Linked DNA regions of Coturnix japonica. The protein of the gene in region 5 binds, or shares a complex with, the protein of the main gene of each other region. Links are inferred from orthologs where the notes say so. Each region holds a gene or a part of one and is shown on either strand. Other genes may lie near its edges. The genes, in order: DNTTIP1, HDAC3, SAP30, NKAP and CIR1.

What was found.
Region 1: CIR1 (region 5) and DNTTIP1 share a complex: the UniProt entries of both Homo sapiens proteins name them as parts of the histone deacetylase complex. The link is inferred for Coturnix japonica from reciprocal best matches to the Homo sapiens genes CIRSR and DNTTIP1.
Region 2: CIR1 (region 5) and HDAC3 share a complex: the UniProt entries of both Homo sapiens proteins name them as parts of the notch corepressor complex. The link is inferred for Coturnix japonica from reciprocal best matches to the Homo sapiens genes CIRSR and HDAC3.
Region 3: CIR1 (region 5) and SAP30 share a complex: the UniProt entries of both Homo sapiens proteins name them as parts of the histone deacetylase complex. The link is inferred for Coturnix japonica from reciprocal best matches to the Homo sapiens genes CIRSR and SAP30.
Region 4: CIR1 (region 5) and NKAP share a complex: the UniProt entries of both Homo sapiens proteins name them as parts of the notch corepressor complex. The link is inferred for Coturnix japonica from reciprocal best matches to the Homo sapiens genes CIRSR and NKAP.

The regions. Positions count from the first base shown.
Region 1 is NC_029535.1:9,477,076-9,483,471, reverse strand, and holds DNTTIP1 (deoxynucleotidyltransferase terminal-interacting protein 1), read right to left. Parts: upstream 4,376-6,396; 5' UTR 4,313-4,375; coding exon 4,226-4,312; intron 4,145-4,225; coding exon 4,074-4,144; intron 3,951-4,073; coding exon 3,854-3,950; intron 3,727-3,853; coding exon 3,628-3,726; intron 3,369-3,627; coding exon 3,300-3,368; intron 2,969-3,299; coding exon 2,912-2,968; intron 2,675-2,911; coding exon 2,613-2,674; intron 2,197-2,612; coding exon 2,151-2,196; intron 1,719-2,150; coding exon 1,660-1,718; intron 1,471-1,659; coding exon 1,410-1,470; intron 1,021-1,409; coding exon 949-1,020; intron 679-948; coding exon 623-678; intron 502-622; coding exon 288-501; 3' UTR 266-287; downstream 1-265. Other genes in the region: aspartate and glycine-rich protein-like, read left to right, coding at 5,967-6,039. UniProt on the Homo sapiens protein: Increases DNTT terminal deoxynucleotidyltransferase activity (in vitro). Also acts as a transcriptional regulator, binding to the consensus sequence 5'-GNTGCATG-3' following an AT-tract.
Region 2 is NC_029528.1:14,745,145-14,749,751, reverse strand, and holds the end of HDAC3 (histone deacetylase 3), read right to left. Parts: intron 4,507-4,607; coding exon 4,442-4,506; intron 4,130-4,441; coding exon 4,040-4,129; intron 3,918-4,039; coding exon 3,859-3,917; intron 3,455-3,858; coding exon 3,375-3,454; intron 2,991-3,374; coding exon 2,833-2,990; intron 2,659-2,832; coding exon 2,589-2,658; 3' UTR 1,459-2,588; downstream 1-1,458. UniProt on the Homo sapiens protein: Histone deacetylase that catalyzes the deacetylation of lysine residues on the N-terminal part of the core histones (H2A, H2B, H3 and H4), and some other non-histone substrates.
Region 3 is NC_029519.1:38,528,600-38,535,074, forward strand, and holds the start of SAP30 (histone deacetylase complex subunit SAP30), read left to right. Parts: upstream 1-2,168; 5' UTR 2,169-2,494; coding exon 2,495-2,791; intron 2,792-3,490; coding exon 3,491-3,613; intron 3,614-5,886; coding exon 5,887-5,985; intron 5,986-6,475. UniProt on the Homo sapiens protein: Involved in the functional recruitment of the Sin3-histone deacetylase complex (HDAC) to a specific subset of N-CoR corepressor complexes. Capable of transcription repression by N-CoR.
Region 4 is NC_029519.1:15,370,173-15,376,752, reverse strand, and holds the start of NKAP (NF-kappa-B-activating protein), read right to left. Parts: upstream 3,996-6,580; 5' UTR 3,981-3,995; coding exon 3,727-3,980; intron 3,467-3,726; coding exon 3,386-3,466; intron 2,928-3,385; coding exon 2,854-2,927; intron 2,661-2,853; coding exon 2,541-2,660; intron 2,416-2,540; coding exon 2,370-2,415; intron 1,993-2,369; coding exon 1,877-1,992; intron 1,735-1,876; coding exon 1,659-1,734; intron 1,173-1,658; coding exon 1,023-1,172; intron 399-1,022; coding exon 224-398; 3' UTR 1-223. Other genes in the region: ZBTB33 (transcriptional regulator Kaiso), read left to right, coding at 4,190-4,217, 6,564-6,580. UniProt on the Homo sapiens protein: Acts as a transcriptional repressor. Plays a role as a transcriptional corepressor of the Notch-mediated signaling required for T-cell development. Also involved in the TNF and IL-1 induced NF-kappa-B activation.
Region 5 is NC_029522.1:15,081,931-15,087,883, reverse strand, and holds part of CIR1 (corepressor interacting with RBPJ 1), read right to left. Parts: intron 1,594-5,953; coding exon 1,487-1,593; intron 1-1,486. UniProt on the Homo sapiens protein: May modulate splice site selection during alternative splicing of pre-mRNAs. Regulates transcription and acts as corepressor for RBPJ. Recruits RBPJ to the Sin3-histone deacetylase complex (HDAC). Required for RBPJ-mediated repression of transcription.

The DNA.
Region 1 (6,396 bases), on a different chromosome or scaffold from region 5:
CCGCTCCCGCTGTGTCCGCCCGCCGTTCCGCCTCGCTCCCGCACTCCGTTTTGAATGTTTCAAACTCGCTCCTCCTCCACCAATCAGCGCGCACTTCCGCTCCCACCAACCAATCGGACACCGCCCAGAATGCGGCCGCTAAAAGAACGGCGGGTGGACCCGGAAGAGGCGGGACGGCGCATGCGCAGAAGATCCCTGCTCCCCCTCCCACCCCGGAGCGTGAGCCCTTAAAGGGGCCGCGCCCCAAATCCCCACCAGGCGTGGAAACGGGTGCGAAGCGGCGGCTTTTATTGCGGGGCCGGGGCCGGGTGTGAGGGCTCGGGGTGTTCGGGGTGTCCAACGGGCGGACCCTCAGGAAAGGCCTCGGGGTGGATCTCGGGGGGCGGCGGCGGCGGGTCCCCCCCGTTGCGAAGCGTCTCCATGTACTTCTGCATCTTCTCCGTCATCCAGGCAGGCGGGACGAAGGGCTTCAGCTCCTCCAGCCGCAGGTCCACACAGTCCCTAAGGGAGAATGGGCTGAGTGCGGGCCGAGGGGTCCCGGGGGCAGGCCGGGCCTCTATGGGGTCCCCGGTATAGGGAGCCATCCAGGTGACCCCCCCGTGTGCACAGCCCGGGGTCTCACCTGTAGTCGTCAGTGGCCGCCAAGTCGCGGATGTCCTCCTCCAGCAGGAGATAGGCCTGCAGCAGGGCGAGACACGCGCTGTGCTTCTGCTGGGGCCCGCGGTGCCCACGGGGCAGCTCTGCCCCCTGTCCCTGCAGTGCTGCCTCTCGTTCCTGCCCAACCCCAGGAGCAGCAAACACCTCTCGGCCCAGCCCTGCTCTGCCTGTCCTCCTCGTGGCCCTGCCCCACACGCTGCCTGGCCTCTCTGCTCCTCCGCCCCTGTCCATCCTGAGCAGGTTTCCGCACAGTTCTTGGGCTGTCGTGGGCACGAGCCCGGCCGTACTCACCATCTTGCCCCCAGTGGCCCTCAGGTGCTGCTGCTCTGCCAGCCATTGCTTATCCTGCGGGTCGGCTGCGTACTGCAATAAAGCAGCAAGGACCTGGCTGAACACGGGACGCAGACCTCCCACCTGGACCACCCTCCTGCGGGGCACAGCCCGTTCCAGTGCTCTGCTGCCAGCACCTCACCCCCACAGCACGGTGCTGGGGGCTCCCAGAGGGAGGGCTTAGCCCTGCCTGCTCTGCTCTCAAATAAAACCCTGACTCTGGGCAAAACCAGCACCTGAGAGGCTGTGCTACCATTAACGTGTTTCAGTGTGCTGGCCAGGTTGTGTGTACGTGCTCTAAGACAACAAATGGGGCGTGGGGAGGAAAAGCCAAGCGAGTCAAAGCGCACACACCCAGTTCCCATCACAAACTGCTTCTGAACAAACCCCAAAGGAGGAGGCATCCTGCTGTGGTATCTGACCTTAAAGAGGTGGGGATGCTTGATGTAGAGTCGCCCTCTTGTTCCTCCCATCCCGAGAGCTCTGAAAAAGGAACACAAGGGGGTGTTACACTGGGACAGAGGGGCCCTGCAGCAGCACGGGGCACCTCCTCTCCTCCCCAGGCCCCAGCCCTTCCTACTGCTTTCGAGGCAGAGAAGTGAAGTGACGGGAGGAGTCTTACGGGCTCCTGCCTGGGAGACACCACCCTCCATCAACAGGGCCATTCCTTACTTGTTTGCTCGAGATCCCAGCACAAAGGTTGTGGTTTCAGTCAGTCGGGATGGATCCCACTACAGAGCAATTGGAAAAGGGGCAACATTAGAAATGAAGCTGGTGCCAGCCAATGCTCCACGAGCCTCAGCTCTCTGACGGGGAACCTAAGAACTGATTTGGGAGGGAGGGAGGTAGCCACAAACCTCTGGATTGCCACAGAGGAAGGAAACTGCACCACCTTGGGCTGATCTAAGCTGTTTCCCTTGTAGGAAACGCTTTGTGGGATCCTCCTGGCTACCACTAAGGCTCTCCCCATGTCTCCTAACAGCTGCACCACACCACAGAGCTACAGTGCCTGGAGGAAGCAAGCAAAGGCTTCCAGGCACTGTAGAGACTCAGCAGAGTAGGGCACAACCTAGGTCTGTTCTGTGCTGCCGCTGCAGGCAGGGCTCTGCTAGCGGAAGCGAAGGGAGGAGAGGGTGAGCCCAGCAGCATCAGCCAGCCAATACCTTTGGTCCATCCCTTCTCACAGGTTCAGAGACTTTGAGCTTCCACCTGAAGGGAAGGAAAGTGAAATAAGAACAGGTCCTAGAAAGATCAATGCAGACAGACACCACAAGCTCCCAGCGGCAGGAATCTGAGTTTGAGCCTTTCCAGATCCACCCTCTCACACCTTCTCTGAAGCCCCATCTCTGCTGTGTTCCCTGTTAGCAGCTGTGTCACACACAGCTCACTGAATCATCCACCTGGTTCTGCACATCCTTTGGCCCTGTTTAAAACAGTTCCCTGGAAGGCTTTGCCTCCTGTGACTCAACCTCAGCCAAAACTCTCTTGCCCTTTGCCATCCCCCCCTACACCTCTCTTTTGTGCAGGGGGAAGGACACTGCAGGTTTTGGTGCCCCTTACTTCAGGCAGTTTTGTTTCCCGCTGCCCCCCCAAAGCACGGGCAGCAGCTTGAGGCCCATACTCACGCAGACATGCCTGAGACCCCACGATCGTTTGACAGGCTCTGTCCTGGAGGCCGTCCCTTTCTCTGCATGGAAGAAATCCTTCAGTCATTCAACTGTGCACATAGAAAGGACCCTTTTGATTATCTGTTCCATCCTACAGAAGCAGCTCTTTCTACCACAAGCACAACAACAGCATGAGAACAAGCACCTCTGAGCCTTCACAAAAACCATTCATACTTGCACATGCTCATACTGTGGTAACAGGAGCAAGGAACAGATCTCCCAAAACATAAAATCCCTCATGTGGAAAACCCTCCTACCTTTTTGGGAAGGGGGCTTCCTCGACGATTCAATTCCTCATCCATCTGTCGGGCACGCTGGAAGAGGAATGGTGGGAGGATGGAGACAAACCCTTCTCCCATCCCAGCCAGGCAGGGCCCCAAGCACACAGCCTGCAGCTCTCATTTGCTGACTTAAGGCAGAGAGCACAAGGGCACAGACAAACTCTGCAGGCAGCCCATAGCAGTGCAAAGCACTCAGATGCTGCACCTGGGGTCTGCACTGGTCTGTAAGTTACTTTCCCCACAAGACAAACATTTCCCAGCTCCACCTCCTCACTTGCACAGCTAGTAGATAATTCCAACCCCGTCATTCTATTCCTCCCAGCTCTTACAAATCATTTAATCCTCCATGAACAACAACTTTTACCTTTGGTCCCATCTGCTCGTGGGGCAACCTGGACACAACTTTTTTGCCATCTGAGAACAGCAGCTTGGCCTGTAGAAAGAGAAGGAAGGTCACCTATTCTGGGTGGAAAGGGGGACTACCAGCAACAACCCCTGCTTCACCCTGTGATGAGAAGATCCATCTTCAAAGGCACCTGTGCTGATGGGAAAGCCCCAGACCATGTGAAACATAAAGGCCACATCTAAAGACCAAACTCTTTATTGACATCTGGCCACTACAGACTAAAGATTTGGGTCTATCTGCCCCCAGGTCCCATCCCAGAAATAGTCTCACGTGTGTTTGTACCCACCTGCTCCAGGCAGCTCCGACACGTCTCCTGGATCAGCTGCTCTGGATCCACGTCCTCCCCAACGTTGTCTCGCACGTTGAGTGCTGCCTTCTGGAAGAACTGGGGGAGGAGCAGCATGATGTCAGCAGCCACGTAAACTCCATCCAGGGTGCAGCACCCAGCTGCCCTCACACAGTGTGCAGGGCTGGGTCCTCTGAGATGCCGTGGCTGCTCCCTGTCCACTCACCTTCATGTACTTATTGAACACAGCCCGGATCTCCTCGTTAATGCTGGGCTGCAGCACGGCTCGCAGCAGGTCCATGGACACGATCGGGTCGGTGAAGCTGTGTGAGCACATGGAGTCAGTCCCGGTGCAGGCACTATCCCGGTGCCCCCATTCCCTCCCTTTAGGCCCATCCCAGCCCCGCTCCGGTTCATCCCTCCCCGCTGTCCGGTCCCTCCGGTACCTGGTTGTCATCTGTGACCGCCGGCCGCGCCGCTGCACCTGCCGATGCTTGATCATGATGTTCCACGGGCTCTGCGGGACACAACCGTCAGCCCCGAGCCCGCCTCCCTCCCGTCCTCCCTCTCCACCTCCTCCTCCTCCCTCCCCCCTCACCGTTCCTCCCGGCTGCTCCTCGCCTCCTCCCGGTCCCTCCTCTCCCGGAGGCCCCGGCTGCTGCTCGGCGTCACGGGCGGCGCCCATCGCGCTCCGGGCCCGCGGCGCCGCTTCCGGAAGCACCGGGTTCAATACGTCATCGGAACGCGACACGCGTGGCGCGACGGAAGTGGCAGCGGCTTCCGGCGGGTGGGTCCGGCGTGGCGATCCCTGCCCGGTGCCCGGTGATCCCTGCCCGCTTCCTGCCCCGCCTGGCCGCCATCCCCCGCCCCGTGCTGCCCCGCCGTGGGGCTGTGAGGAGCCGGGACCTGTGGGATTCAGCTTACCGGAAAGCTCATTGCTGTACGCAGACATGGCTGTAATACATTTAACTTCTTAATTCTCTGTGTTATGACCGATGTTTGGATGCACGGAGCTGTATCGGTGCTGTAATGACGGTGCTGTGCCCAAGGGGGCCGGGGCTGCAGCAGGGCAGGATGGCATTGCCTTTGTAGCTGCACGGCAGTGCCCTGGCAGCTCCCATTAGCTCATAACTGTGCTGTGCTGCCCCTTAGGCCGTGCCCTGAGTCACTGCCACCGGCTGGATTCACCCCGTGCCTTTGTCATTCTCGAGGCAGATAGGAAGCAGATAGTAATCTGTGGCTAAAGAGTAATGGAGATAATTGCACTGTTATCATCACCGTATCACACCTCTCCTGTGGGGTGTTCGGAACACAACGTCAGTGCCACCTGCTGCGAGCGCACCGCTGGGTACCGCTGTCTGCTCTTGTGCTGGGCAGAGACCCACGAGTGGCAGCACCGACACTGTGCTGAGCTGCCCCTCCTGCTGGGGCTTGGAGGGCTCCGGACAGCACAGTAGGTGGCAGGGAACTGTGGCACGAGGGAGCTCTGCTCACCATGGTCACAGAGGTGACACCATCGAGCTGAGATGTGGGGCACAGGGACTGCAGCGGATAGGGGCGGTTCACAAGGGAAATAGCTCCAGAACTGAGTCATGGCCACGAGGAGTGGAAGAAACCTGTACTTCGAGCTCATTTCTTGCAGTAAGCCTCCTTCCCACGCAGGTTTGGTGGCATGCAGGCCCTGCGCCTTCCCACTGCTGAACACATGGCCCCAGTGCTGCCCATGTGTGGCCTTTGCCACCATTTGGACGAAGCTTTCTGAAGCAGTTTTGCCTTCTGAGCTTTCACACAGAGTGACCTGCACATGCTGACAGTGGTAGAGATGCTCCTGGTGCAGAGGAGAGACATAAACATGGTGGCACACTGAATTCTTTGTTCACTCTCAATGCAAACACAGGGCAGGGGCTGGCAGCATGGAGCTGAGCTGTAATACCTGCCCTGGGCAGCTCTCCTCCACTCAGTGCTGCGGCACTCCGTGTTCTGTCTGCCAGGAGACATTTATTCCTGCTGGTTTTAAAGCATAACAAGCTACAGCATTGACATTCAACCCTGCACAGGTGGAGCTGAGCTCCTCCGGGGCAATGGAGGGGGGGAAATCTTGCTCTGCAATCTGGGAAGGTGCCCCTGGGGGTGAACGAGGAGCTCTGATGTTACCAGTGCCCATTAAGGGTTTATGGGCCGAGAATCGGGCTGGCCGCAGCCCGGTGTTCCGGTGTCTCCTCCTGCCCTGCTGCTGCGGGTGTCCCACGGGGCACGCAGGACGTGGGAGGTGCCCGGGGCCGCCTCTCTGCTGTAGCTTAAATCCCGTCTGGGCGCCGTGCGGGCAGGGTGCTGGCACCATGCGGGGGGGTGCTTGGCTCCTGCTGGGGCTGCTGGCCCTCGGTGTCCCGCTGCACGCCGCGCCCGCTGCAGGTGAGCACGGCCCCGCGGTGGGTGAGGTGCGCTGTGCGCTGTGCGGGTGGCTCTGCTTTGGTTTTATATCCCAGCACTTTCTGCCAGAGCTGCGACCCTCGCGAGCTCTAGCCCTGCTTAAGGCTCCTAACCTTTGGCTTCTGCGAAACGTTAAATGTCGTGCGAGTCCGGTTCAGAGCGCTCCAGCTGCAGAAGCTTCTCTTGCTTTCTGTTATTTCCTTCTGACGCTGCTTTTTCTGGTGCTGTTGGCTGGGGCCGGGGCTCCCCGTTCGCCGAGCGCTGGAGGATGCAGCCCCGCTCTGCCCGGATGGGGCTGGTGCCGGGGGGTCTTTGCGTGGAGGCTGAACTCCGCTGGGG
Region 2 (4,607 bases), on a different chromosome or scaffold from region 5:
ACTGCTCCAGTGCAACCTGCTGGCAGAGCACTGGGAACCCCCTCTGCCAGGCTCTGCAGGTGCTGTACACGGTGCTGGCACTACCAGGGTGCCTAAAATCCACACCTAGGGTTGGAAAGTTACCCTGATCAGCATGAATTAGGGCTGCAAACTCCATTCTGCAGAGGGAGCACAGAGCTTCCATTCAAACCAAGAGATCCATGTGCCACCTGGCGTCCAACAGCAGCTCTGCACTGTGACCCGAATTGCTGAAACACCGGTATTTAAACGAGTGGAAGTGATAGAGGACCCACCCAACCCAAACTGCTCTGGGATTCTATCACAGCCCTGTGTCCTGCTGGGGGTGCAGCAGATGGGGAATGTGCTTTTAGGGGTGCAGGGTGGCTGTGGCTGGGCAGCACTCACACAGTGCAGCGCAGGGAGAGCAGCCACAGCCATCCTGATAACTGGGCTGGAAACTCATTGGTGACATTTCCAGGTCTATTTCTGAAGGTGTGACAGTGTATGTAGGACAGAGCGCTCTGATGCTCTCTGAAAGATGAGGTATGAGCTGCTCCTGGCAGCAGCAGGTCTCAAGGTGACACCAGCTACCGTTCTGCCCTTACAATGTACATCATAGGATCATAGAATAACAGAATGGTTGGGTAGGAGGGGACCTTACAGCCCCCAGTGCCATCCCTGCTGTTAGTTGGGTGCCCCCCACCAGCTCAGACCGACCGGAGCCCACCCATGGCTACAGCCCAGAGCACAGAGCACGGGACAGCAGAGGAAAGGAGACAAAACACAGAGCTTTCAGAAACACACACAAGGGTCAGTGGTCTGGGAAGGTTCAGATCCTCTTCCCTATCGATCCCCACTTATTTCAATATAACAGAGCAACCTGGAAGCTCAGCATCCACATTCAAAGTGGAAAGGAAAAACGGGGATAGAATAGATAACACTGAGGTAGGGAAATAGCAGCCCTATGGAGGATTGTGGTGGATGTGGGACATTGCTCTTAGCACAGTGCAGTGCATCCATCCCAACCTGACTCACTCTCCAAGCAGAGAGCAGACTTCACTATGGACTATTGAACTGGTGCCATCAAAAGCCTAAAAAGGGTGATGGTGGTGAGAGTCTGACAAGGTGCAGAGCAGTGTTTAAATGCAGGTCTCACCTTGGTCCAGCTTGGTCTGTATAACCATCTCTGTTGGAGACCAAGGATGTGCCTGAAGAACACAGGAGGAGCAGCCTCTCATGGAGTGTGCAATGTAAAGAATCTACACTTAAAACAAGGTATTTACATGGACTCTGCAGCAATCTGGTCAGCTCTCCCTGTTCCAGAGGTATAAGCAGGAGCAGCCATAAACCCAGGACCCAGGGCTCCCCTCACTGCACTCCAGCTCACAATATGCAGCAGTGTACACTTGAAGGAAGACAGGAGTCAAAAAAGGCACAAGCATTAAACAGACAAACAGATCAGGTAAGAAAAATACTGCCTCTTCATTTAATGTTTAAAGACATCAGTAAACAAACAGAACAGTACGTACAGTAAGAGGCTGAACCCCTCCCCTCTCCCCATACAGCACCCTCCAAACCACGAGAGGACCAGGTGACAGTGCAGGAGAAGGAGCAGCAAAGTCTGGAACCTGGGAAACCTCTGCTGTGTGAGGACAAAACAGGACCCATAGGAAGCAGCCTCCCTCACCCGTGAGCAGTGAAATCTCTGGGGCACAGTCAGGAGGGGGGGGGTGGTTTTTGCTCCCAGTGAACAGCCCAAGTTTCTAGCAAACACACCTGTGAACTTGGAAAACACAGCTTGGAAGCTACGTTAGAGCTGTGAGACACACTGCGTGCTGATCTTGGCAACCAAATCGCTGTTTCACAGTGATTTTAACCTTTCAAAGAATTAAAAAGGAAAAAAACAGAGTTAGGTCCAACTTGGCAAAGTGTTGTGTTACCCATTTGCAAGTGCAAAGCTGAGGACAGGGAAAACGAACAAGACTACACTGCATACATTCTTACACCCTGCTCCAACCATGCTCCTGATCCCTACCCCAGAACTGGCCTTGTCTTCTTGAATGGTTTTCCTTGAGCTGTGGAGCAGCAGATGGGTAGAAAGGATATGAAGAAGCAAAGTCTCGGCGCAGGCTTCAAGAGGACAAACGAGTGGGTACTTGAGCAGGGGGCTGGGGATGGTGGGATGTGGCAGGTGTGATGCTGACGAGGCAGAGGTTTTAGGCACAGACACTTCAGCTCCCACCTTTCTGGCAGGAGCCTGCACGGGAGCTGAAGAAGCTGACTGAGTGGGTTCAGAAGGCAGCTGTGTGGCTGCCAGCCAGTCCATGGCATGGGTCCGAGTGCTGCTTCAATTTCCATTTCCCAGATGGTGACGGGTGGAACCGTGATGCATGGTGGAAAGTAAGGAACGTTTCACTGCTCTCTGCCTTGCAGGGAGCAGAAGTCTGCGGTGGTGCTGTTTTCTGCTGCCACCACATGCAGTCGAATATGAAAGGAGGGCTCACTGGCTCCCATGCAGCCCAGTTAACCACACCAGCGTCCAACATGGCAACCCCCCATGGTCCAGAGTTCAAAGTCCATTAGATTCCTCAGATCTCAACATCACTCTCTTTGTCATTATCATGGTCACCATCATAAAACTCGTTGGCAGCTTCAGGCCTGGGGTTGGAAAAAGACAATATCAGTGAGGAGAGCCCTGACAGAGAAAAATGCCTACAAAAAGGTCAGAAAATGCCCTGCACCCACACACCACATGGACTGTTTTACATTTACAGAGAGGAACCTGCAGGGCCAGAAAGGAAAGCTCATCTCACCAGAACATCAGAGCTGTACCTGCTGTAGTTTTCCTCAGAGCCTCTTTCCTCTGGGTCAGGTTCATCTGTGCGATCGTAGCTCAGCAAGTCAGAAGGGACATCATGGATCTGCACGCTGGGAGCATGGTTCAACATCTTCAGATTCTCAAATATTGTCTGCCTGATCTGATCCAAGTACTGTACAGAAAAACACAGAGAGGGATCGTCACCAGCAGATCTGATGCTTCACTCAGAGCCACAACAGTCAGCTCTACTGCCTGCCTACATCATCTGTGTGGTGGCCATGAGAAATGCCTTTGTGCAGAAAGCTATTCAGCAGAGCAGAAGAGATGGGAAAGTTAATTCAATCACTGAGGCTCCAGCACTCAGAAAAAAGTAGGACAATCCAGCAGAGTTCAGAAATATTATAGACCCTTTGAGACTTTCTGTTGTGCCAGAGCAAATGTATTTGCTTTTCTCTATCAGCTTTCTGCAGCCACAATTCCTAGCCTGGGCTCCATCTCATTTTGCAGGATAGAGCATCTACCACAAGGTTCTGGGGCCAGACATGCAGGCACTCACCTGCCTGGAGTTCTGATTTTCTATCCTTGTACTGACGTCAGGATGAAGAGTGAAATCTGGAGCGAAGTATTCAAAGTACTCTGTGAAAGCATGAGCAGGATTTAAAGCAGGAGGGCAAAGGAGTCAGTCAGCAGATGCAGAGCTCTGTAGGGAAGCAGAGCTCACCCTCCCACCTTGCTAGAGGTAACCAGACCCTATAAACCACAGTGATGTACAACTCTGCAACTGCAAAAAATTACATGAAATGAGAGTCAGCAGAAGTAATGCTCGAGTCATTGAAGTGATCCAAACAAAATGCTGAGCAGACACATCCTTACTGCATCAGATAAGCCTACAAAGGGGAGATGGAAGGGAATCAGGACTAAGTAAGGTTAAAAAGTGTTGTCTCTTTGGCCCTGGTCAACACAGAATGAAGTGCTAAGTCTTATGCTGATACAACTGCTTTAGCTCAACTAATAAGGAAAACAAGGGAACCTGAACTTACCACTATATGGGAGCTCCTCACTAATTGCTTCATCTACAAGCAACGATGTTTCGTAAGTCCTGAAAAAAAACCAAAAACCAGATTAAGATGAGCTCAGTCCAGAGAAAGCAACAGGGTGCATGTAGGGACAAAGCCCACAGCAAATGCCTCATCAAATATACAACAGGCCCATAAGACTCACCAGCACCGTGCCACATTGCGGACTGTGTAACCGCCTCCTCCCAGCACCAGTAAGGGGATGTTGAAACTCTTTACGTACTCCACACACTCCCTAGAAACCCCAAAGAAACACATCAGAGCTGCTACCTGCAGCACACATTCACATGCCCAAAGTTTCACTGTGTGTTCATTCACCACCACGGCTGGTGTGACAAACATGGGGCTCAGGGCTCCTACTCAGGTCCTGAACCATGTGCTACTCTGTGAACTACTGCTTTTCTACAAAGCCCCATTATGAGAGTCTCTGTCACACAGCAGTTTAAAGCAAAGTTGGTGCAGCTGGAAGGCCAAAGTCAAAGCTCAGGTCTTACAATGCAGGACCACCTGCAGTCCTTTTGCTGTGTCCCAACCCTGCTGTACTTACCCATGTCCTCTTATACTGAGGTTAAAGCAGCCCAAACGGTCACAACCCAGAGAATCCGCACCACACTGGGGAAGAGAAAAAGAACAATTGAATTTTGGCTAGATAGGCATTGATTTCCAGACACACATTGGCATCCCTACCCCTCTGCCAACTGCATTCAGCAAAG
Region 3 (6,475 bases), on a different chromosome or scaffold from region 5:
AAAAGGGCTGACAATAGCAGGACACAGGGAAATGGTTTTAAGTTAAAAGAGGGAAGATTTAGGTTGGATGTTAGGGGGAAGTTCTTCACTAGGAGAGTGCTTAAGCACTGGAAGAGGCTGTCCATGGAAGCAGTGGATTCACCGTTCTTGGAGGTATTTAAGGCCAGGTTGGACGGGGCCCTGGGCAACCTGATCTAGTAAAGGTGTATGTTTGGTGGCCCTGCCAGGCAGGGGGGTTGGAACTACATGATCCTTGAGGTCCCTTCCAACCCGGGTCATTCTGTGATTCTGTTACTTGCAACACATTTACAGTGTGCTCGCAATCTATTCAAGGTGATGTGTCCAGTTATCATTCTTCCCTCTCAAATACAAACCAGTCAAAAGTGAACAGGAGTGGGAGTGGGACATACAGCATCTCAAAGCACGTAAGCTGCTCAGCTTCCACCTGTACCTGGTCCTCCTTGGTGCCAGGAAGTTCAGGGCCCATAAGGTGTGAATCTGGGCATTCTTTTCAAGACAAAGTAGCTTTTAGGCATTCCTACCAAAGGAGATGTTCCTTCCCTGTTCCTGAATCATTCACACAGTCCTGCCCTCCATCAGAGCTCCCTCTCTGCTAGGACATGATCATATAACTGAGCAGTAAAGCAGATGTGGGTTTAACATAACTGATTTTCTTTTCCCTGGTCTAGTTGTAACCAGATCCAGTTTGCCACAGAGCTTTAGAAATGCTTTTACAGGCACAAAGAAAGACAGGGCACAGGTGTGAAAGTCAGCAGCTTACAGAAGAAGCAGAACTGTGTTTCTCAGCCCTGCTGCAGCCTTATCATGATCTAACCATGAAACTATGATACTGCTCTATTGAAATTCAGCTTAGGAATTAACATATTGGCGAGCACGGCTGAAATCAGGCTTTTATCTGCTCACGAACTGTATAAAGAGGATCAGGAACATATCTGAGACATAGTAGTCTCTACATTTTAACAGACCACAGCAAACATAACAGACTGTGTATTTTATGCTCAGCATAAGGTCAAAACCATCTGATGAAATGAAACGGATCACAAAAGACACAGTGTAAGCTGGTAGAAATTGCTACTTGTGACCCTGATTTCTGCTGGAAACTTCCTGGAACTCACACTTCTTCCTATATCTTCTTTAGGTAAGGTCTCCTACTGTTGTGTGGCTTTGTTTGTTATTATTAACATCATTATAATCTTTGAAAGGGTCGAATCACAAGGAACTTGAGCAGCGAGTTAAACGTCCCTTTTCTGAGCTGACACAGTGGCAGGGTGTGGAACTGAACCCAGCTGGGCTGTAACAAAGGAGGGTTCGGTATTTTTTCCAGCTCTTAACCCAATTTCTCCCTTTAATCACAAAACGTGCCCTCATGCATAACTGCTGTCTGTCACTGTACGCTCAGCCTAACTCCACTCGCTGGATCCTTCAGTCGCAACTGCTGGGAGCGTAAGCGGGACCTACCCTCGTTCTCTAATGCCAGGTTACGCAACCGGATTAAAAAGCCATCTGCAGCACAAACCCAAACTGCAGCATAATCGCACTCCCTGGCTCAGGCAGTTGTTGGGCTTACACGGGATCTGCGTCTCCTCAAATCGCTCGCTGACCTCCCGGTTACTCTCCTGATTCCACACTCGCACAGTAATGGATACGGCCGCATATTTCCGCGGTTACCTCACGGCGCTCGGGCCCGTTAGCGAATTTAAGGGCTCAAAAAGGAGCGCAAAGCCGCCTTTTTGCGCTCTGAACGCACTCGGACGAAAATAGGTCAGAGGCGGCCCCACAGCGGCTGAGCTATTACAGGCTGTGCGTTAACGCGGCTCTCGTGTAGCTTTCTTAGAGCTCGAAATATCTCAATACAGGCAGCGTTTGATCCGGACACAACGCGGAGCCTCAGAATCCACTTCCCGCCCCCGGTAGCGGCACGGCCGCATTTCAAATCCCAACGGCCGCGCCGACGGGGAGGAGCGAAGGCGGCGTCCTACCAGCCGGCCCGGGCCGACACCGCCACATGCCGGCGGGGGGCGGGCGGAGCCGCGGCACCGAGCTGCAACAAGCTGCGGTGTGTGCGGAGCGGAGCGCCCCGTCCGCCGCGCAGCTCGGGAGCCGTAGTTTCCCGGCCTCGCCGCCCGCAGCGCAGAGCGGCGGGACGAACTGCGTTTCCCGGAGCGCAACGCGGCTCGGCCTTGAGCAGGCGCAGTGCTGAGGGGCGGGGCGGCGGGCAGGTTGCTGTTGTTGCATAGGAAACAGCTGAAGAGTCTCCACATGACAGAGGGGGAAGGAGGAAGCGGGGCGGCCCGTGGGGCGCCGCCAGCGCGCCGGTAGCCGCGGGGCTCGGAGCGAGGGCGCCCGTCGCGCCGCGCGTGTTCCCTCGCGGTCCGGGCTGAGCGCGGCCGTAGAACCCTCCGGGCCCGAGTCCCCTCGCCGGGGGGAAGCGGTGGCGGCGCTCGCGGGGCTTCCCGCCGGCCCGACGCGGGGCATGAACGGTTTCGCCCCCGAGGAGCTGCCCCAACGCGGGGCCGACCCCGCCGTCGCCGCCGCGGGCGCGGTGAGCGGTGCGGGCTCCGGAGCGGAGGTGCCGGCGGGGTCGGCGCCCCCGGGGCTGGCCGTGGGAGCCGCGGGCGCGGCCGGGGCGGGCGGCCCCGGGGCCGGGCAGCTGTGCTGCCTGCGGGAGGAGGGAGAGCGCTGCGGCCGCGCCGCCGGCAACGCCAGCTTCAGCAAGAGGATCCAGAAGAGCATCTCGCAGAAGAAGGTGAAGATCGAGCTGGACAAGAGCGTAAGTCTTACGGCAGCGGGCAGCGGCTCGGGGGCGGCTTTTAAAGTTCTTTTTTGGCGTGTTTTCTTTTGTTTGCGGGTTGTTTTTTTTTTTTGTCTTTGCCGGCGGCGGGGAAGCGCCGTTTCCCAGTCCCTCCTTTCCCGCAGCGCTGCCGCCGCCCCGTCCCGCCTGGAGCCCGGCGCTGTCGGTGCCCCACCCGGCGGCCGTGGGCGCGGGGCTCCGTGTGGGGAGGGCTCGGCGCGGCCGCACGGTGCGGCCCTGTGCAGGAGAGCTGGGGAATGAGGGGAGCGGCCCGCGTGTCGCTTGACCTTGCGGAGGTAAAGCCGTGCGGATGGGGAGGAGGTGGCATTTTGCCTCCCGCGGGATGTTCCGGAGGCTGCCCGCCTTCCGTTCGTGCGTGTTTGTTTGCCGATCCCCGAGTTGCTGCGAGCGGTTGGAGGGAGGGTTGTGTGCGCGCTTGTCCCCGCTGCGCGACGTTCTCTGCCAGTCAACCGGTAGCCGCTTCCCCCCGTCCTCCCGCCGAGTCGGTGGAGGTAACATAACAATGCCTCCGTGCAGCGCTATCAGGCAGAGGGGCTTCCCCACCTCGCTCCGCGTGAGCGAGGCTGCCTAAGGAATGTCTCTGTAGATGCCTCTGTGCTGCCAGGCTGGGAGGAGCTTGCACGGGTTTGATTGAAAGATGCGGTCTTACTCTTGTAGGCGAGACACCTTTATATCTGCGACTTCCACAAAAACTTAATTCAGAGTGTGAGAAATAGAAGGAAGAGAAAAGGCAGTGATGACGATGGTGACTCACCAGTGCAAGACATCGACACTCCAGAGGTAGCCAACGGTTTTTCTAATAGTTACGTTAAGTCTGTTCCTGCTTCAGCCGTGCCTGCTTTTGGGGATGGCTCCTGATGTGCTTGGCTTTTAATATGACAAAAGCAAACTGGATTCCAGGGTGTATTTTCTCTATTAGATGTGCAGAATCTCAGGCAGCTGCTGTTTTGAACTTTCCTTACAGTTTTGGCTCCAGGAGCCTGCTAGAAGTTGTTTTGCTATGAAAATCAGTCTTTGTAAAGGTTGACAGGACACACCGGACTTGGGCTATAACTGCTTCTCTGTCACATCCCTCCAATCCTTTCCTTCCATGTGAAGCACGTTGCAGATGGTGCCTGTAGTTACCACTTAGTGTAGCTGGAAGTTTCTCAGTGAGGGAGCTCACTGGTTTTAGTCCTTCTTGGGGATAGAGATGCTGAGGCAGTTTTGCTGAGGAGGAGCTGAAATAAGAAGGCATTTCTGCTTGCCTTCCTTATTGTAGGCCAGTGAAACACCACCCGTTTTGGAAGTGAACTACTTTCAAACTTTTTTCATAGTATAATGTGAATGCACTTAAAGCTTTCTTCTTCCTACATGTGTGCTGGATTATTTCTGTTACAGTTTGTGTGTTAATCGTTGAGCACAGCCTACCCGGCCTCAACCAAGAGATTTATCCAGTGTTTGTCAGAAGGTGCTTGAGGATTGTGAACTTATCCTTAAGGTCAGCGTCAGCAATGTCAGTGATGAAACTTCATGCAGGAATCTCTGCCTGGAGGCACACGGCTCAAGCCTGAAGGCTTTGACTATAAGAGGATTTTAGGAGATTGGAAGTAGTTTGATGCTGGGCTGTGGTTTTTGTCAGCTAAAAACATTGGATGGCATCTCTGAAAGCTCTCTAAACCTGCTGTTCTTTGTGGCTTTTGGTAGCTGTCTGGCACAGTGGCAACTGCAGCTTTTGCCTGTTTATTTGCTCAGACAGGAATAATAAAGCATGACACAACTGATGGATATCCCTAGAACAGAAGAAAGGAAATGTATTTTCAGTGGTAGTGGTGCAGGGAAGTAGGTAGTTCTGGAGAGTTTCAGCATGCAGTTCCTGTGTGGTGTTGGTGTGCTATAGATGCCCACTGGCCCCTTGATTTTTGAACTGCCATCCAGTTTACTGCTGACCACCTGTAGGGCATTCCCATTTCCAGAAGTAGATGTTAGGAGTGATTTGCAGTGACTTCCACAGTGCTGCTGTCTTGAGTACGAGGGCATGCCATCCTCTTAACACGTAAGGCAGGGTTGTATCAAGTCTGACCGGGTCACCAGGAGTGCACTGGCACTGTTGTTGCCTTAAATATTGCATAGCTGAGGCTGCTGGATGACTTTAAAATAGAAGTTAATGCTTTAACCAGTCTTTAATGCAGGAAGTTTGGAGAACAGTGCCGTAATTGCAACTGACCTAATGGAATTTCTTGTTCAACCTGCTTTCTTAGCTTCCTTTCCTCCTCAGTCTTCTGATTAAACTTTGTTTTACGCTGTCAAGAAGGTGAGAGGGTAAGCTGTTGCTGGGAGAAGCGGCTGTTGATCTGAGTTCATGGGATTAAAAACTGAGAGAGTACTGGGTTGAGGCAGTGTATTTATATCCCGGAGAGGAGCTTGTGCAATGCTGTGAACTGTCAGCTCACACTGAAAAATAGTTTTGGGCAACTATGCCTATGTACATAACTCCTCTGTTGTGCTTATTGTAGCAGGGATATTCTTGGACACCAAGACCAGCTCTTTTTTTTTTCCTCTCCCACCTCAAGCCAAAAACCTTCATGTTCTAGACTTTGTCTTGGTTCTAACTCATGCTGTCTCATGGTGCAGCTATGCTGCTGTAGACTGCAAAAGACTTCATGGCTGAAATTGAAATGCAGAGCCTACCTTTTGAATCAGCATCTTCATAGATGTTATGATGTTATGAGTTTTGTTACTGTGCTTTGTGTCATCATGCTGAAAATGGGGGGGGGGGGGAAGGACAACAATGAAAGAAAAAAACAGAGACGATTATAGTACTGTAAGTTCTAAATATTGTCTGCTGCTAACAGGAGGAAGAGCCGTACTTAGTAACAATAAACTGCTCTGAAACTGCAATGGAATGTTTTTCTTTCTCCTGGAAGGTGTGGAGTAAAGTTTTGTTCTCTGTCAAAACGAGCTCTACTGAGCTGACAGTGTGTGGTTGTGTATGTGCAAGTTTCCAGGATGACGAGGGAGACCTTATCAATTACATTAGGTTGCTTTCTTCCCCCTTTCTCCTTTTCTTTTAGGTTGATTTATATCAGTTACAAGTGAACACACTTCGAAGGTACAAAAGACACTTCAAGCTACAGACCAGACCGGGACTTAACAAAGCACAGCTTGTTGAAGTACGTATGAGTGTTTACTCCATAATAGAAAATGCAATTTGCCATGGCATGCGTTGTGTTGGGTTTTTTTTTTCTCTGCACAATGTGATCCTTGCATGAAGTGCATATATAATCTGGGTTTTATGAGAGCAGAAAGGAGCTGCTTATCTGGCTTCCTTCACTGCCATAGCTCCTGAGCCAAGGAAATCAGAAGGAAGAGCTTCTTTCTAGAGAACGGACCCATAACTTTCAGAAGGAGCATGTGTTGCTTGAAAATAGTGAGCTGAACAGTAAGGTGACCTGTGCATCAGCCACACCTTCCAACTTAAGTATCCTACTGATGATAATTTGAAATTGAGAGGTAGCAGTGGTAGAAGTGCCGCTTGCAACACCAGAGGCCTGGGTTCGAATCCCCCCTGTGGCGTAAGTGGTAGAAGTGCTGCTCTGCTACACAGGAGGCTCGAATCCCGGGGGTTGGACTCGATGATTTCTAAGGTCCCTTCCAACCCGC
Region 4 (6,580 bases), on a different chromosome or scaffold from region 5:
CCTGCAATCTTTAAGTTTACAGGGATTCCCTGCAGATTGTGAGCAAATCATCTGAGATAATCTGATAGATGTAATCCTGTTTTCTTGATACATATCATTGGTTCTTGGGGCTTGGTCCTGTTGGGTGAAAGGCACTGCAACACTTGCAGGTATTTTCAAATCACGGCTGGAACGGGTCAGCTGCTGCTTGACAGCCTCTATGGCCTCCAGTTCAAATGGGGAATTATTTTTCCTCTTTGCCCTTAGTCTTTCTGTAGACCATCTCTCGAAAGCTTGCAAGGATCTTATTCTCTCTTTTTCTCCTCTCCTCCTGGTTGAAGGATGCCAGAGCTCTCTTTTCATCTGCGCTGTAAATTTGGTTCTCTTTACGCAGACGCACAGCTTCCATTCGACGATGTCTGTGGAAGAAAACATTGTATACATAAGCACGGGCAGAAGGACGTAACGCCCCGTGACAGCTTCCATCCATTAAGTGACCTGAAGGTTTTGAAGGGCTAATAAACAAAGACACCTAAACCAGGGAACCCAAACTGCAAAGAAACCTCCAAGGAACGAGCATAGCTGAGCTGACATCTGAGGGTGTCTGCTCTCAGGCAGTGAGCAGGAAGTCCCTCACGCTCCCAAAATAGCTTGCCAAAATATAAATGAACCTCCTTTTGTACTGGTAGAAGAAGGTATGGTGAACCTCTCACATTAATTTGTCTCATACCAAAGAGCCAGCGCATAGCCTCTGCTGTCCAAACACACAACCCTTAGGGCCATTGGAGACAAGCATCTAATTTGAAATAAAGAGAATTTGAAGCATACTATCTGGAAATAATTTTGATTCTTCAGGAAAAAGTGACTTTAAGAAACTATGCATCTATATATAGCAGTAGAGTTCAGCATATGCCACTGAAAGCGTACAGAGCACGTGCTCTTCAGAGCTTTCAGCTACAGCCTGGGAACAGCTTTTCAGCAGGCCAACAAAGGAAGCAGCTTTGGAAAATGTTACTGAAATATTACCATCATAAGAAACATACCTGCTGCCGCTCATCACGTAACCGGAGCTCTCAAACGATGCAATTTCTTCACTGGTCAAGCCAATCTCACCTCTCCGAGGAATGCGTTTTCCTGCTTTTACATACTCTGCCATTGCTGCACCTTCACCCGGCAACAGGGCGTGCCCATAGCTAAAGAAACAGAGAGACAAACAGGAGGGATTTTAATCAGTCTCAACTAGAGTGAGCCTGAGCCAAACATCCAGCTCCCCCAGTCACTACCAGCTACATTTTAAGGACTTCCTTACTATTTCCCAAGTACGTTCCCATTTCATACTTACAGCTAATCTCAGCAAGAACATTTTAAGTAAGCAGTTTAATAAATTCTGGTTAACCAGTAATGAAGGCTGTATGAAGTCACAGCTCTGCAGAGCATTAGAGTAAAGGCACTTTACTGAAGTAAAAACCAATTAATTTTCTACGAACCCAGGCTAAAATGCGTAAAACAGACTTTTCTACTTAAACTCAGGTCAGAGTAAAGACTAGCACCACTACCACTTCTTAGTTTCTGGTACAGCATCCCTCTTGATATAAATCATATTATTTTAGGTCTTTCTGAGCAGAAATCTTTATGCTAGATTTACTTGACTCAATCAAGGTACCATTTAGAGTACTCACTTTAAAGGCCTATCATCTTGAGACGCATGTGTTTTGGGAGCTTCTGGTCCAATCAAGCTATCAGCTTCTGTATTTTCTGCAATGATCAAATAGTGAAGCAGATCAATACTGTGCCTCTTCTTTGTTATCAGAGCAGTCAACAAGGCAGCAAACACTTAAAAAAAAAAAAGCATGAAAAGAACACCAAGAAGTTTCAAGACAAATCTACGGGCACCTACTTGATCTCTCAATCCAGAGATCCTCCCCTTGAACTGTTCCATCATCAGAATCTTCACTGCTGGAATCACTGGATTCCTTCCGGCTCTTTTTATTTTTCTTTTTCTTGTACTTCTTCCTGCAATAACACCCAAGTTATCCACCAGCATTTAAGATAAAAAAACGTGCTAGGAGTCATACTCAAGTTATGAGTTTCTCAAGATACCTTCCACCAAGGACAGTCTGCATTTACATTGCTGTTTGATTGAAAACAACCGATAGTTAAACAAAGACAACACATCCACTGTTATGGCTTTCATACAGCGCTCGAAAGCGGCTCCCTGTGTTTCAAGGATCTCTCTGTGCTCTGGGATTCTGTACATTTGATGCCAGTCAAATTATGATTATCCACCTGCATTTACAGCTCTAATTACAGGAGCGCTCAGCTTCCCTCCGTTCCTGCTAAGACTGCGCTTAAAAGTAGATGCAATTATACTTCACAGCTTGGAAACTTACTTCCTGTGCTTCCTTTTCTTCCTTTTGCTTTTCTTTTTATCTTCATCTGAAAAACAAAAAACAAAAAAAAGGGAAGATTATGCATCATCAAAAAGCATACACTGTGAATTAGTTAATGCCTCCACCAGAACATCTCAATACACAGCTTGGACATCATTTGTTCTCCCTTACCACTGGAGCTCTGGTCGGACTCGGACTCGCTGTCACTGTCCTCAGAATGTTTTCTGTGTTTCCGTTTGGACGCCTTCCGTTTTCTCTTCTTTCGCTTCTTCTTCTTCTTCCTTTTTTCCTCTGGAATGTTTATAAAAGATAACATTAGAAAAAGATGAAGACTTAGTTCCGTGTATACATCTGGAGCATCCCAAAGCAACAGGGCCTATCACACTCACTTCAACCCAAGTCAGTGAACTTCCTGACAGCAACAACAGCAGTTTCTAGGTAGCGACTGGTTATCAAAATGAGCTGTATAAACAAAGCCAAATACCTTCCGAGCTGGAATCCGAAGAGCTGCTCTTGGATTTTGCCTCTTCGTCTTCTACTGGCGTGTGCTCATCAGAACTGAAGAAAAACAAGTTTGCTTTTTAAGATCTATTTTGTAGTATTTAGTAACTGAAGATCAGATGCACACATACACTGAAACACGTGCTTGTGGATTTTGAGCCACTACTTGCAACAGAGCAAACTGTGCAATGGCCAGCGTGCGAGACAGCAACTGTTTTCAGAACCACAGCAGAAAAGGCACCTATCACAGTATAGAATGTATCATAGAATGCCCTGGGTTGAAAAGGACCATAACAATCATCCAGTTTCAACCCCCTGCCATGGGAAATCATGTAATTGCGTCATGTCTTGAGTAACTGATGTGATGGGATTATCTGAATAACGTCTGTTTGCTTATGTTGGTTCAGATGCTTCTGACACAATGAATTGTGGCACCAGAGGACTCATGCGTTATTGTAAATTCCTCTAGAATTGATATCATAAAAAACAGAGTGAGAAGCAAAACTGTGCCTTACTCAGGGTCAGGAACCTTTGGCGAAAGCCCCCAGACTTCAGGTGCTCCCAGCTCTCCGATTCTCTCCCTCTCATTGAGTCTCCTGGAATGAAGCACACCGTTACTGGACGCTGACACGTCGCACCCAGCGAGCAGCTGCTTGCGGGCATGTCCCACTGCCCATAACAGCGTGAGAACGGGACTTCAATAACAACCTCAGCCCAACCCACGCCCGCAGGCCGAGCGGGCAGAGTCCAGCCCGGCACCCAGAGGCTCGTGCAGCGCCGGCGGCTCCCAGCCTCAAGCAGGGAGAGCCCGCAGACCCGCCCGTTGCCCGTTCCCCGTTCCCGCGTTGGTACTGGCCTCTGCCGCAGGATCTCCTCCTTCTCCTTCTCGTAGTACTCGGGCCAGGCCTTGCCGTGGTGGTGCCCGTGGTGCGCGGAGGCTCGAGTCCCGCCGGGGCTGCGCTCCCGGGATCGGGACCAGCTGCGGCTCCGCCGGTGGCAGCCGCGCCGCGATCCGTTACGGGACCGGGAGCGGGACCGGGAGCGGGAGCGGCGGCCGCGGCGCTCGGGGCTGGCGGCGGCCGGGCTGCGGGAGCGCGACACCGGCGCCATGATGGCGCGGCGGCATTTCCGGGCGGCCTGACGGCACTTCCGACGGCCGCCGGGCCGCGCTGCGCTGCTCGGACGGGGGCGGGAGGCGGCGGCGACGGGGCGCGGGGCGGAAGCGGGGCAGCCCCGCCCGCGGGGCGCAGTGCCCCACCGGCCGTGCGGAAACACGGCGACACGGCGGCGGGGCCGCTCCTTTGTCACCGCCCGGCACCATGGAGGCGCGGGCACAGCCGCGGCCAGGTAAGGCGGCGCGGGCGGACGGCGCACCGGGAGCGGCCTGCAGCCGGGAGCGGCCGGGGGACGGCGGTGCGGGGCCGGGTGAGCACCGAGCGAGGGGGAGCGCTCGCCGGGCCGCGATCCCCGGTGCCCGATGCCCGGTGCCGGCCGGCACATCAGCCCGCGCTGCTCTCGCGGCCATCCCGGCTCGGTCCGGCCCCGCCGCTGTCAGAGCGGCTGTCAGCGCAGCCCGGCCCCGCTCCCGCACACCGGCTGCCGCCCCAGGTTTCACGGGCCCGCTGCCGCCATGCTGCGGCTGTGGGAGCGCGGGGCACATACACGGCTCTTATTTACACGGTTCTTACTTACACGGCTCTTATTTACACGGCTGTTCTTTACACGGCTGTTATTTACACGGCTGTTTTTTACGCCTGCTGTGGGCAGGGTGATGTGGATGAGGCAGGTGGAAGCTGCAGTGCCTGTCACTCTGCCAGCTGAATCCGTACTGCCTCAAATGCTCGTTCCGTGCTTCCCATCTCGGGAGGATCCCGGAACGCAGCCCTGCCCCCTCCACCCGGCCCTGCATCCCCACACGGCACACAAGGTTACGACACCGACAGGCAGAGCTGGTTGCTGCTAACCCACATTGCTGGTGCTGGGCCCCGTCCCTGCAGCCATTAAAGGCACCCAGAGGTGCAGCCGGGGCTCTGCCATCGTGGGTGCAGCCCCAGCTCAACGTGGTGCCCAGCGCTGAGGCGGCTCCTTTTGGATCATTTCCATGCATCAAAATACAGTTGCTTTGTGTTCTTACCCACTGAACACCACCTCTTGTTGTGTGCTCTACACGTCCACATCTTAGAAAAACATGCTTCATTTAACTTGTCACTGTATACGTTTGTATGCTTGTTCAATCCCCAAACACTTTGGAGGCTGATCTGCAAGAGGCCTTGCAAGGCCGAATGGTAAAGCAGTTCACAGCTTGGTTTTGGGAACCCCAGAGCACTGCTCCTTCCAAACCAGTGCTTGTCTTTAGCTGTAGGTTCTCCTGTGAGTTCCTGCAAAGTCTGTAGGATCAAACAGATCAGGAACCGCAGATAAAACGTGCCATGAGCTCGGGTTCTCTGTGAGAACACTGCAGAGCACTCACACACACTGTGTCCAGGAGACTGCCCGGTGTGTGCCCGCACATGGCTGTCGCACACGCTCCAATGCAGGGTACGGGGTGGGCAGAGCCGGGCAGCGGGAGCGCAGCGTCAATGCCGGACGTGGCCGCCCGAGGCCTCGATGGAGGCGGCATCACCCGCGGCCCACGCGCTCCCGTCGGCAGCCGAAGCCGCTCGGCTCGTGGCTCCGAATGCAGCCGAGCGCGCTCGGGCGGAGCGCCGTGCCGCCGTCCCGCGGGGCCGGGCAGCGCGTGGCAGCGCCTCCTGCCGGCCGCGGTCAGGGGGCGGCGCCCGAGCCCGACGAGCGGCGGCTGCGGCGGGGCCGGTGCCCGTGAGCGCGGTGCAGGGCGGCGGGTGCCAGGTAACGCGGGCCCCGGTTCCGCTCCTCGAGCCGCGGCTCCCCCTCGTCCGCCCTGCCCGCCTGGCCTCGAGCGGGAAGCGGCGGCGGCGGGTACGGCCTGGCCGCGCGGCGGGGCCCCGTCGGCTCCGGGCAGGCCGCGCCCCGGGTCCGCCGGCCGTTATCGCGGCACGACACCGGCCGGCCGGCGGCTGGGACACCTGGCCGTGCCGCGGGGGGTCGGGGCCGGGCGCTCGGCAGCCGGCGGCCCGTCCTGCGCCGTGCGGGGCGCCGGGAGCGGGCACCTCCCGCTCGTGCCTGCGTGCGGCCTTTGAGGCGCCGAGGTCAGGCGCTGCCCGGGCCGGTTCGGCTCCGCGCTGCCGCCGCGCCGCGGCCTCCTACGGGAATGGGCTGCGGGAGCGGGAGCCGAATGAATGGATGCTCGCGGAGCTGAAGGGCCGGCGGCGTTGCCTGCCACATCGGGGGTGGTTGTCTGCTCTGCTTGTGGCCCTTAGAGAGCTGGGTGCTCCCGAGCTTCTAACCGTATGGCATATTTTCATAATGCAGCGTCTGTTAACGTTCAGCCTTTCAGAGAAGCCCATCTTGCTTCTCATATTTACCTCACTTGCCGCTGAATCGAAAGCAGGTTTTTCCCCTGCTATGAACAGAGTATATTTATGACTGCACGTGCCTCGTGTGGACAAACACTACATCTGCACAGTGCTGTGACACATGAGCTTATGAATAATACCTCACGTGGAGATGTGTTATTTCAGAGGATGGAGTAAGCTGAAAAGGCAGAAATGCTGCCATACAGTTAAAGCTCTCAGTGTGTGGTTTTGCTTGATGCCTCTTGCTTTCTTTTTACAGGAATGGAGGGGGAAAAC
Region 5 (5,953 bases):
CTGCATACAGTATTGCAATCAACACAGCATAGCTACTTTATGACCCTCAGATCTTCAAATTATGTACATCTGGTACACTACAGTGCTCCACCGCAATGGTTTTTATTTCAGCCACACTTAAGAGGGGAAATAAAGATTAAAAAGCTCTTCCAAAAAATAAAATAAAATAAAGAAGAAGGAAAAAAACCAACCCAAAACCAAGAAATATCTCACCTAACGTAAGGCTAAAGTACTGGTATCACCTTGCTCCAATTAACCATACATTACAAAGGCTGCTCCAGAAATACTGCCTCCTATTTTATTATGTTGGCCCATGATGTCAAAGGCAGATGTTGGTGGTGTGGCAGTAGAGGCTGAACCTTCCCACCAACAGTCCATTATATGTTGCTGCCTTGTGACAGATGGCAGCAGAGGGGCAGTCTGACAGAATGGGGCCTAACATGGAAGTGTGCATTGAGCAAAGGTGTGTCACTGAACCCCTCCATACATAAAAAAACTGCATCTTATAACATTCACCGATGCTTGCTCAATGTTTATGGAGATCAAACAGCAGATGTGAGCACAGTGAGCTGGTGGGTGGTGTGTTTCAGCAGTGATGACAGCAACATGAAAGATATGTCATGTTCCAGATGGCCATGCACAGCTGTCACACCACAAAATGAAGAGCATCTCAATCAGTTCATCTGTGTGAACCAGCTAATGGTGGTGACCATGTTGAAAAACAGTGTTTTGTAGCTGAGAATTTGCTTTTTAAAATAGGGTTACCGTGCTCTTCGTATTTGTTGTTGTTTCAATGGAAATAAATAGCAAGCATTACTTTTGGAGCATCCTACATACATCCAATTGTGAAGACAGAAGGAATTACTGATTGACTGCGGTGTTTCAAGACCAGCTGAGGGCTGTTGTCTGTCTCTAGTTGAAACTTGATGTCATGGCATCTTGACTATCCTCCCATAGGTTATCACATAGCAGCTCGCTCGAGTAACGTGTGCAAATTATTCACTTTACATTATTATTATCAAATTGCCTCTATTTTAAATATATCTTATGCAGTCTAAGTAATGACAATTAAATATTTTCTCCCTCAGAAATAACAGACATAACAATATTCAGTTAAGCAAGAACATCTTTGGCTATAGCAGCCCTGGTAACACTTGGGCAAACATTCATGAGGAGGCCACCATTGCGCCACATCTAAGTGCCAAAACCCACAGCCACTCCTTTATGAAAAATCTAATTTCTAGCCACCCAAAGGAGGTATTTAATTTTTTACAGATAGATTTAAAATAAAAAAAAGGTAACTTATGATTCATGGTTGTGACTAAAACAGAGCTGGAAAACACAGTAAGTTTCTGGAGATTTTCCACTGGTGCAGCTATTCAGCTTTCCTATGGATATGCATATTGGAAAACATTAAGTAGCAATTCACAAGCAATCACATTTAGATTTATAGACATTTTCAGCTTACTGGTAAAAAGATCATTACCTGTGATGGATCATTTGCGGTCAAGTTTCTCCCCAGTACATTTTGTTTCAGTGCAAACCCACTGTTTCTCATCTCCGCTATTAGCTCCGAGGGGTGCATTGATGGCCCTGTTCACAAAAATCACAGTTTGAATGTATCATTTATATCTCTCTACCTTTTTTGGACTCCACAGTAGGAATTCAGTTGAAGCTTTGTTAAGTAAAATCACAGCTAAATCAACTCAATAATCTTCTGCTGAGCAAATAATCAGATATGATTTTCTAAAACAGCAGTCTGGAGATTCAGAATAGAAAATAATTGCATTTTTCTTTAAGTACAAGGGGATTCTCTTATGTAACTTTGTCATGTTGAAAACAATATATTTAGGTAAGTGTATTTCTGCTATAGCACAAAAAGCACAGAAAACCTAAAGAAAAAACATAAAACAAGACTTTTAAGAGCCTCTTTCTCCCCTAACACAAGGGGAAAACACGTTGCTACTATGCCACTAATAAGGTGCTTTTCATAATTCTTCACACATTTTGGAACTCAAACATAGAAAGTAACCATCATCAGAAACATGGTACGCAGATAGAAAATAAATGCATGGAAAAATCAGTTACGTCCTTCCTCATTCTAGGGCCCTCCAGACATGCTGGGTCTCTGCACTGTTACTCTAAGTCTACTCACAGCTCTCAGCTCCAAAAGCGTGCAGTGCCTCACATTACTGTAGGTGCTTGGGATTAGGCACAGCAGCTTTGTCTGAACCACACTGGCCTTGCTGTAACTTACATACCCCACACCTGGCTCTTTGGCTTTAACTGAACGCTATGATTATCAATATATCACATCATTCCCTGAACAGGCATTTTCTCTTTTCCTGTATAGCACACTATTCACAGAAACAAACAGGCTGATACATTAAGGAAGAATGAAGAAGAGAAAACTTAGGAAATGTTTCAGGATCTCTTGCATTTTTTCCACATCAAAAGCCAATCACGAAAGCACAACGTTACTGGTTTTGGTGTATTTCTGCCCTGCTGATTGCAGTTGTGCTGTAAAGCATTGACCAGCACAAGCAAAGAGGTGGCCTGCTAGAGTGCCTGCTCCCACCAGGATCAGCACAGCCACACACATAACAGACATGCTTAAAAGGAACGCAAACAAGGCTAAAGCAAATGTACAGAAGCCTTGCTCCCATATTTATTAATGGCATCAAGGAGATGCATTTGTAGCTCCAACTGCAATGGTTCAGACACAACACAGTACTACGTAACAAGGACAGCTGACATCACTGTTACTCCTGTCTGGTGGACATGGACAAGTTACACCAAACAAACAAACAAGACCTTAAGATTAAAGCGATTTATGAATTCAGTTGTTTCTAATTTGGCCTCCATCAAATAGAATACCTTGCTATTTTTAAGTAGCAATTCCTCAATCTGCCAAGCTTATTTTCTTGAATTTACCTTTTCATTTTTCACAGTTTTTATCTTTTTCACAGCCTTAAGAAATACTGTTTTCAAGCAAATATTTCTCCCTGCTTCTTACTTCTCAGAGTTTTTAATACCTTCACCCTCTCTTATGTTTCATTTAAGGTAGGTTTTAAGGCTTGGTTACCTCCGGGTTGGGACATTAAACCTGAAAACTCAAACCACTCAATGAAGTGTGGAAAGAAGGATTTTAGTCTCCACAAAGTACAACCCAAGCGCAACCTTAGTTTGACAGCTATTGGTGCACCTCTATAATATTCATGCAATTAAATACACAGTAGAGCTGTAAGTAGAATTTTTCTGAAGCCCACGTGAGCATCCATTATGCTGGATTTCACAAGGATATCATGCGAAGACTTCTACAACATATTGCCAGTTTGTTTCTATAACAAAGAGCTCTCCAATTTCTCACTGCACTTTACTGAGATCAATTTAACAGAATCAATTCTGCTTCTATTAAACAACCAGGGGGCAATATAATTCTGGATTTCAATTACTGACCGCCCAGCTTACAGCAGGCTCTCTTACCCCACATTATTACCCCCGCTCTCAGCCCAGAAACAAGAGCTACCTATAGCCAAAACTGTCATTTTCCATTCTGTCTGTACTTTTCACAAAGCCACAAATGCAAAGAGCGCGTGTAATGCTTTGTTGTTGCCAGAATGTTTCCTCTAATGAGCATGGGCAAAGGATTCCTCCTTGTGAGAACAATACTAGCTGTAACACGCCATCCAGCAGACCGCCATTAAAATGTCTAAAGCACATTTTTCAAATTACCCAATATTAGCGAACAGGGCATTAAAAACCTTTTTTCATAACAACTGTGATTAAATACCACTTTTTCTACAAGGGTTTCAGTGGCAGTAAGGACAGACCATAATACTGTGATTGCCACTATCACCAAGATAGCACTTTTCAGTCTCTCTGCTTGTGTTACATACCCTCGACAGCGTCAGCTCAACTTCCTGATAAAAGCTTTCCCTACTGTCACCAGTACAGATAAACAAACCCATTTATCCTTTGCAATCAATGAAGTTCCTATCTAGATTTTTATTACAGAATACATATGAAAAGCAAAGAGGTAAGAAGCTGTAACGCTTTAACCATCATTCCAACCTGTGACGGGGGAAAATCACCCTAGCCAGTACATAACTGCTGTCTGAGGACAGCATAGCTGCATGCTACAGTCTCCAAACAGGAATATAAAGGAAACAAAAAATGCCCAGTTCTGTTCTGTCTGTAGGCAGAGTACCATAGACCTGCATACACCAGCAAGTTTGCAAACAGCTCTTTCACCTTAAATAAGTGTTGTAAAACCACACTGCTGGTTGCCTTAGCAAATGATCACAAGAAGGGTGAGTATAGGCTGAAATCAGAATGTGACTTTGCACGGTGGCAGGGAGTACCATTTAGACACAAGGCTTTTTGAGTTTTGCTTTTAAAAGACAACCTAACTTCAAAATTATGAGACAGGTTTGTCAATAAGATACCCACATACTTTTTGTGCTCTCCATGCAGTTTTGTAGGTTCTTTTTCAGGTGGCTTAAAAGGAAATTTAACAAAAATGGGGAAGAACTACAGGCTGAGCCTAATCACGCCATATCTTCTGTCAAGTTTCACCGCAGTTGTGGCAGAGATAAGAGTAGACACTTCTCATTTATCTAAAGGACAAAGAGCTATTATCATAATTATATGATCGTGACCCTGGTAGTGAAGAACCCAGCAAGTTTATGCAGCCTCCACTAATTCAGAACTGATCATTTTTCACTGATAATTTTTCCATCTCTTTCGGGGATGACTACATTCAGACCATATTTACACTTCAAAGCAACTGCTGCAGTTGGCATTGAGAGAAACCAATGAATACAAAACCTCTGGCTTTTAATTAGCTTTTCTTCAGAGCGTCTGCAGTTTAAGTGAATGTAACACATTGCCGTGCTTTTGTCACAGGCCATTTCAGAGAATCTTCAATTTTTAAGAAATAAAAAACATTTAAATCTGATATCAAACTGCTACAGGAATCCATATTTATTACTCAAATGCCATTCACACCAAATACAGAGGCTTCTGAAGCGTAAATGGAGGATTATTCTGAAACGAGATAGTTCTTGAACTACGTGAAGGTTCTGTTAGGGCTCCTACTGCTCACAATCAAAGGTCTCAGCTGCAGACCGCAAAGGAAAGTTTCATACATGCTGCATTTCTGCAGATGGCCATTTATACAAATGGTCGCAGTTAACATATTTAAATACCTCTCCTTTGTTAATACAGATTCAAGAGAACACTTAAATCCATTCCTGCTTTCCCAATACAAGGCACTTTTTATCTGTGGGAAAACAAAATGGTACTGCATCTCTTGCTGGAAAACTTGCAGGGAGATTCTACTCATAATACAGACATAGATCTCATTTTTCTTGTCTTAGCATGGCTGACAATTTCAATGATCTCTAAGGCAAAGGATTTCTCACCCCAAAGAAGCTGAAGATCAGTGACAGACAAGCACAGTGTGTGTGGGGACACTCAGGTAACACAAAGAGGTGGCACAAGCTTTAGGAGGTGCTGATGAGCCTTCAGAAGTCTGCATTTATGCTAACACACCAAGAGCGTTCTCATCTTGGTAGAAGGTCAGACTCTAGGTACACGTACGTGTCACTCAGTCACATTTTGACTTTTATTTGCCTCAATTTTCCATAAATATTTAAATCATTTTGCAGAATCGCTTCTTCACTGGACAGAATATATATGGAGCTGGTTGACTGCAACAGCAGTTCACAACAGAGAATGATGCCCAGCACTACCCAGCCTAGGTTTAACAGGCCAAGAACATCAGATTGGATTGATTTATCTGACCACAGCACTTACAGGCAATGTCAAAGTGAATTAAAAACATTACATCAAAAGTTTTTGCATGTAAAACCCATGAGCCTGTGTTCTAATAATATCAAACAAGCAAAAAGCATGGAAAAACACCAAAACCAACAGCTGTTGCTGGTTA